Kluyveromyces lactis: one gene and its partner. The protein of the gene in region 1 interacts with the protein of each later gene in a pairwise test. Links are inferred from orthologs where the notes say so. Each region holds a gene or a part of one and is shown in the gene's direction. Other genes may lie near its edges.

Region 1 (4,481 bases):
ACCCAAAAAACAGTTTGAGATTGATTTCTTGGATCTGAATGATAACATTGAAGAAGAAATATTTGCAAATAAAAAGGGGTTCATTGATCTATCAGTGAAACAAAGAACAAATGATTCACATTTCTTACTACCGGACGACTATAAATTCACAACGGATAAAATCACAAGGCTCTTCATTAAGCCCGAGCAGAAGATGAGTTTCTTTTCACACAGGAGGATCAGTAAAGCCAGGTTACCTGGGTCCCTGAAATTTGATGATACCGAAATCAAAGAAGTGAGTAATATTCCGGAGATTGCAGACGAACGCTTTTGGGCTGAAAACTATCAACTGCATGAAAGGGAAGAAGAGCACAAGCAAGATGACACACAGATAGAAAGATCAACCAATCCATCGTTTGAAGAGGATAACGGCATTGACTTCAACCAAGCCTTCGAAGATGAAGATTTGGATATGGATACAAAAGAAGATTTCGTAAACACGCAAGGATTAGTTGCAAATAATAAAATGACCTACTCCAGAACCTCCAAAAAGGTAGATGTGAGAAAATTGAAGAATAATGTGTGGAAGTCAATATGGCAACGTTTACATGTACTGAAGACAGACGAACAAAATGGGGAAACTACTCGGAATGAGGAAACTACTCAGAATGATATCGAATCAGAAGCACATCTGACCGAAGAGAAGCAGGGAAAGCAGGATATATCAGCAGAAATATCAACAAAAGCAGAGGGCTATGACTTGAAATTCACCGATATCGCTCACGATATCGTGAACATGTACACTTCAAGTGCCAAAAAGGATCTCTCAACCAGTTTCTGCTTTATCTGCCTTCTTCACCTCGCTAATGAGTATGGATTTACGATTAACGACACTACAAACTACCAAGACTTGGACATTCGGTTCCCTGAAAAGATTGCAGACGCAATTATTGGCAAGGAGTAGCCGAACTATAGCCGACGTAATTATTTTGTTTGTATATAGAAGAGTATTGATCACGTGATGTTCGTCTAAAAAGACCTCGTTCCTTTTTATTTTTCTGGCACTTTCGAATCGGATTTCAGCTGTTACGTAGAGTTTCTCCCTAATGAAATGCAACGCCACCCGGACGAGCGTTCATCAGCTTCCAAGAATTTGTTGATAATGTTGAAATTTGAGTAAATTGAGCATTTGTCAAATTTAAAGGTTTTTATTTTCTTTAGAATGAGGATATATATGGCTATGATTATTCGGGTCATTTAGAAGGCAACGAAAGAGGCAAAAGGCTTTTAAGAATAGTGAACAAAGGAAGCAACGAAAAAGTTGTATATACCAGCTCAGGTACTTTGAAAAAATCACTTTTACGGTGTACTTATTAAGTGTTAAAGGCTAGATGACGCTTCCGGTGTTGATTGGTGTTTCTGGTTTGTGCGCCAAGAACGCTTCTCGAGTGTTGATTCGTCAAGCCCCTGTCTTGACAGGGCCAATTTTAAGGACTTTGCATAGAAAGCATTTTCTTACAGGCAGCGTGCTACAAAACAGATTATATTCGGACAAGAACCAAACAGGCAAGGATCATAATGGTGTTACAGGTTCTCAGCATTCGGAGGACTCGAAGAACACTGTAAATGGGGCAACAAGTGGTGCAGAAAATGTTCAGCAGCCCAAGCAACTAAACGGGATTAATTCGAGTGATATTGATCCGGCAAATGGACCTGTATCACACGCTGTTTTGGCTACTAAGGAACAGCAAGCTAATAAAGATTTGTCTAACCCAAGTGCGCAAGCGGAGTTCTATAAACTTCTCTTGAAATCGAACTATCCGCAATACGTTGTTTCGAGATTTGAAACTCCTGGTATTACTTCATCGCCTGAATGTATGGCTTTGTATATGGAAGCTTTACAAAGGATCGGTAGGCACGCTGATGCTGAGTCTGTGAGGCAGACTTTGTTGACGACTGCTCCAGCTGGAAGTATTCCTCCTGCCGTGGCTTCATCTGGTGCTTCTTCCGCTGCATCGGCTAACGGTGCTGCTGCCCAAGTTACTGGAGGTGTTTCATCTGGTTATTCTGGCATCTATAATCCGTACATGGGATCCAAAAAGGAACCTCTACATGTTGTTGTCACTGAATCCACATTCTCTATTGTTTCCAGATGGTTAAAATGGTTGATCGTATTTGGTGCAGTTACATACGGTTTGACTGAAGGTTTCAAATACATTACAGAACATTCAACCCTCTTCAAGACAAATGAAGTCGCCGATAAATCTGTGGATGTTGCAAAGACTAATGTAAGATTTGATGACGTGCGGGGTTGTGACGAAGCTAGAGCTGAATTGGAGGAAATTGTCGATTTCTTAAAAGATCCTACCAAATACGAATCCTTGGGTGGTAAGTTACCTAAAGGTGTTCTATTGACCGGACCTCCAGGTACTGGTAAGACTTTATTGGCAAGAGCCACCGCCGGTGAAGCTGGTGTTGACTTTTTCTTCATGTCAGGGTCAGAGTTTGACGAAGTTTATGTAGGTGTTGGTGCCAAGCGTATCAGAGAGTTGTTTGCACAGGCCCGCGCTCGTGCCCCTGCTATTATCTTTATCGATGAATTGGATGCTATTGGAGGTAAGCGTAATCCCAAAGATCAAGCTTACGCAAAACAAACTTTGAATCAATTGTTGGTTGAATTGGATGGGTTTTCCCAAACAAGCGGTATAATTATCATCGGTGCCACTAACTTCCCAGAATCATTGGATAAGGCTTTGACAAGACCAGGTAGATTCGATAAGGTCGTCAATGTTGACTTACCTGATGTTCGCGGGCGTGCTGACATTTTGAGACATCATATGAAGAAGGTTACTGTTGCTCCTGATGTGGACCCAACTATCATTGCAAGAGGAACCCCAGGTCTTTCTGGTGCTGAGTTGATGAATTTAGTTAACCAAGCCGCCGTATACGCTTGTCAGAAAAATGCTATTGCTGTCGATATGCAGCACTTTGAATGGGCAAAGGATAAAATCTTGATGGGTGCTGAAAGGAAAACTATGGTTCTCACTGAAGCTACTAAAAGAGCCACCGCTTATCATGAAGCCGGGCATGCATTGATGGCACTGTACACTGCCGGGGCAACGCCATTATACAAAGCAACTATCTTGCCAAGAGGCAGGGCATTAGGTATCACTTTCCAACTTCCTGAAATGGATAAGGTGGACATCACTAAGAAAGAATGTCTAGCTAGGTTAGATGTGTGCATGGGTGGTAAGATTGCAGAAGAACTGATTTATGGTAAGGAAAATACTACCAGTGGTTGTGGTTCGGATTTACAAAATGCTACCAACACTGCTAGAGCAATGGTTACTCAGTACGGTATGAGTGAACAAGTCGGACCAGTAAATTTGGCTGATAAGTGGGACTCATGGTCTGGAAAAATTCGTGACGTTGCTGATAACGAAGTACTTGAACTTTTGAAAGCTTCAGAAGATAGGACGAGAGCCTTATTAGCAGAAAGGGAAAAGGAATTGCATAGATTAGCTCAAGGATTAATGGAATACGAAACATTAGATAGTACCGAAATTCAGAAGGTATGCAAAGGAGAACCTATCAATAAAATGAAAATGGCCACTACTACGGTGGTTGAAGGACCAGACAGCGATGATCGTAAGGAAATCGGCGGTGATAAATCAAAAATTCCGGTACTGATTAAAGCATGATCAGACGCAGAACTAAAACGTCATTGGATACGGACTCCTAGCATTACACCATTGATTGAACATTTCACCGACCATCTTTCTGTATCTGCATTTGACCTGTTTGAAGAACCCCACTACAATGGTTATGTTGCAACTTGTACAGAATACCCAAATTGAGTGGTTAATTTTAAAAGTGTTATATGAAATTACAGATCATAGCATTTTCACATAATAAAGCATAAAAGCATTGACGTGTCTTGTAAATATAACATTGGCCGGCCTTCTTGAAGAAGCGGCAGTCACTACTTTACCCCTGTCGAAAGACTATAAATGAAGATAATAGTTCTCTTCGCAAGTATATATGCATATTTGTATAACAATTATTCGTATGAATGAATGAACTTTAGGAAGTTTTCATTGAGAACTCTACTTAACTTGTATACTACTACACTTTCAACTTTTTAGAATCCGGTTCCGTTGTAAGCTCAGCGGAGCTATCACGTTGTTGCTTTTGTCTGCGCATCCTATCTACCAGCAGCATTGGATTTTGGCAGTAATGCAATTTTGCGTCAATTTTAGTTGCCTCTTCTTTGGAAAGTGTTTCAACGTTCAAAATCATCGCCTGACACTCTCGTATTAGCGCTGTTAAAGTTTGCAATTTTAAATTAGATGGTAATTTGGTATCTGATGGTGTTTCTTCCGTTTTCAAGCCTTCCGTTTCCGAGTCCTTTTGCTCCTCAGGAGGGCTCCCAAACTTCACTTCCAAGTATTTTAGCGTTAACGCTTCATCATCTATCAACAAGCATGCAAGTGTAATTTGCG
Region 2 (3,167 bases), on another chromosome or scaffold:
TCGACGGTAGCGTTCCAGAATTCAATGAAACTTTCTACCAAGTCGCTGATTCTTTAAGAGATGACTACAGTTTCATTCAACACGGTAGTGATGGAAAGTTGTCCATTTACTTGCCAGGTGAATCTGAGCCAATTGTGTACGAAGGTGAAGACTTTGACGCCGAAACTATTTCCACTTGGATTGCTGTTGAAGCATTCCCATACTTTGGTGATGTTAACGGTGAAACTTACCAAGCTTATATGGCTGTCAAGGTGCCTTTGGCATACTTCTTCTACACTTCCCCAGAAGAACGTGAAGAATACGAATCTCACTTTGTTGACTTGGCTAAGAAATTCAGAGGTAAGGTCAACTTTGCTGGTTTGGATGCTTCCAAATTCGGTAGACACGCCGAGAACTTGAACCAAAAGCAGCAATTCCCATTGTTTGCCATCCATGACACCATTAAGGACTTGAAGTACGGTTTGCCACAATTGGCTGATGAAGAATTCGCGGCTTTGGAAAAACCAATCACTTTAGCCACTGAAGAAATCACCAAGTTTGTTGAAGATTTCTTGGAAGGTAAGGCGGAACCTATTGTTAAAAGTGAAGAAATTCCAGAAATCCAAGAAAACTCTGTCTTTAAGATTGTTGGTAAAAACCATGAAGAAATTGTCCGTGATCCAAAGAAGGATGTTTTAGTTGAGTACTACGCTCCATGGTGTGGTCATTGTAAGAAGTTGGCACCAACTTATGAAAGCATGGCTGAATTTGCTCATGAAAATGACGAATTGAAAGATAAGGTCTTGATTGCCAAGATCGATGCTACTGCCAATGACGTTCAATCTGTCGAAATCCCAGGTTTCCCAGTCTTATACTTGTGGCCAGCCGGTGAAGAAACTGAACCAATTCTTTTCGAGGGACCAAGAACTGCCGAAGCTTTCCTAGCCTTCATCAAGGAAAACGGTTCTCACGGTGTTGATGGCCTTGCCCTTTACGAAGAATACTTAGTTGAAGTGGAGAAGAAGAAACAAGAAGAAGAAGAAGCACAAAAGGCGAAGGAAGTTGAAGAAGTGGCTGAAGAAGATTCTGAACTAGAGCAAGATGAATTGTAAATAAACCCATATCTCGTAACCCATTTTACTACCTCTTATTTGTAAAAGTTCTAACCTCGAACATCAACAAAAGTTGGTATCGATATTTTATACATATGTAGTATACCTTTGAATAATAGATTTATCCGGTATTGCATATACTTTATGAAAACCCTTCATGCTATTCTTCCTTCTCGGCGTCATGTGTTGCATATCGTCTCTAAATGGGTTTGAATTCATCTTTATTTCAAGCAATAAAATTTAATCACGTGACTTAACTCCGAAAAAGTATCACCAACTACGTTGCCAATCACATTTTCCAACCGGGACGAGGGCCAACATAAGACAACTCGAAGAGCACGTATCGGATTACTAAAGGTTCAAACAAAGTGAACAAGCAGCAAGGACAGAATTGCGAAGTAGATGGCTATATATACATCCGGAACTCAGTCAGATAATTCTGAGCCTGTTGGCAATGACCCCAAGTTTTATACAAGACCAAGTCTGGGATTGAAACTATGGGGACCATTAGTGCCTAGTTCGGATAACACAACAGGATTGTGGTCATTAGTTGCAATTCAAACAGGACTTGGGTTATTTCTAATGCAAAGGTTTAGAAAATTGGGAAAGAAATGGGTGAAACGAGATATTGCCGATTTTCCTAGTTTGAATAGATTCAGTACCACACACGGTGATATGTACATGACTAGACATATTCCTGTTCAATTCGGGGGAACACATTCTTTCAATATTCGAGTTGGTACACGTACCGGTTTTTGGTATTCAGAGAGATTTAGAACTATTAGACGTGTTACTTATTTATTAGCGGGGACTCTAATACTCTCGCAGTCTATGTTAGAGGTTTCAAGATTGACCCTTCTCAAATACGATCCCTGGGTAGAAGAAGCAAAATCAGTTCGTGAAAAGCAGTTTTTCAATGACATCGTCAAATACTATCACGAGGGAGTTGATTCAACGAAATTCAAGGCCAAGGATGAATTATCAGGACAGTCAATTTCCCTTAACTTACCAGAGGTGAAGCAAAGTATCGCCGTAGCGAGAGCACAAGCGCAGGCCGAGAATTTGGTAACTAAATGGTTCGGACCGTTGGATTATAAACCACAGTCATTCTCTGAATTCTTAGACAAACTAGAATACTACCTGAATATGACTGATTTTCTCAACAATCTCAGACGTCAAAAGAAGAACGATAAGATAAATTCTCAATTGGTAAAATTAGAAGAAGAAAACAAGCGCAATAGACAGAGAATACATACATTGATGGCTCATGCTCCGGCACGGGCTATCAGAACAAATCAAGAAGTGCAGGACATATATGCAATTAGAAAAGTTCTCTTGCATCATGATACAGAATCACCAAATGATATCCCACTAACTGAAATATGGGCTATTTACAATCCTTGGACAAATTTAGCATTAGACACCGCATTAAGCATTAAGTTCTTTCCTTCGGTCATTTTTAATGAAGACTATTATGAACACCAGAAAAGACTCAAAGATTCAGAGCATGTTACTTCCATAGAGAATAGCGAAGATGAGAGAAAGCCATAATTGAATATCATACACGTTTGTATTACACTAACAGAAAAAATAACTGACTCAATTCATGATTTCAAACTGTATATAAGAATCGTTGTACAAATTTAATCGATATATAGCTATATCGAGACTCTCATACTGCCTTTTTTTTGTTTCCTTGTTTGTGTTACGAAAGCTACGACATATTTCCCACTGTAGTAACCATTTTTTACTACGATTATTATTATTATTTCAAAGAAACCAACAATAGCCTTCGAATAAAATAAGCCTAAACTAGTGTCCAAGTAAAGAATTAGTTAAAGTTTATACACTGGACCTTCGATCTTGCCATAACGGAATCAAATCATGTTAACCCTTATATTTACGTTGTGGGTACTTCTGCTTAAATCCACAGGGGCTGTATTTAATGATGAAGCGTTTCACGTGGATTGGCAAATCGAAAACCTAGGTGATATCAAATGTATTGACAAATCAGACTCGTCATTCGTGGTCTTAGGGGAGACTCCCACTGGCATCCCTGTAATTTCACTTTTGGAT

Evidence for each region.
Region 2: the proteins of YME1 (region 1) and MGR1 interact in binary tests that used the Saccharomyces cerevisiae proteins (3 or more experiments, as listed by UniProt). The link is inferred for Kluyveromyces lactis from reciprocal best matches to the Saccharomyces cerevisiae genes YME1 and MGR1.

What each region holds. Positions count from the first base shown.
Region 1 is NC_006041.1:606,386-610,866, reverse strand, and holds YME1 (i-AAA protease YME1), read left to right. Parts: upstream 1-1,370; coding exon 1,371-3,680; downstream 3,681-4,481. Other genes in the region: condensin subunit BRN1, read left to right, coding at 1-943; TFIIH complex kinase subunit CCL1, read right to left, coding at 4,105-4,481. UniProt on the Saccharomyces cerevisiae protein: Catalytic subunit of the mitochondrial inner membrane i-AAA protease supercomplex required for mitochondrial inner membrane protein turnover. The protease is probably ATP-dependent. Important to maintain the integrity of the mitochondrial compartment.
Region 2 is NC_006039.1:81,634-84,800, reverse strand, and holds MGR1 (Mgr1p), read left to right. Parts: upstream 1-1,493; coding exon 1,494-2,642; downstream 2,643-3,167. Other genes in the region: protein disulfide isomerase PDI1, read left to right, coding at 1-1,091; EMC1 (Emc1p), read left to right, coding at 2,976-3,167. UniProt on the Saccharomyces cerevisiae protein: Component of the mitochondrial inner membrane i-AAA protease supercomplex required for mitochondrial inner membrane protein turnover. Together with MGR3, functions in an adapter complex that targets substrates to the i-AAA protease for degradation.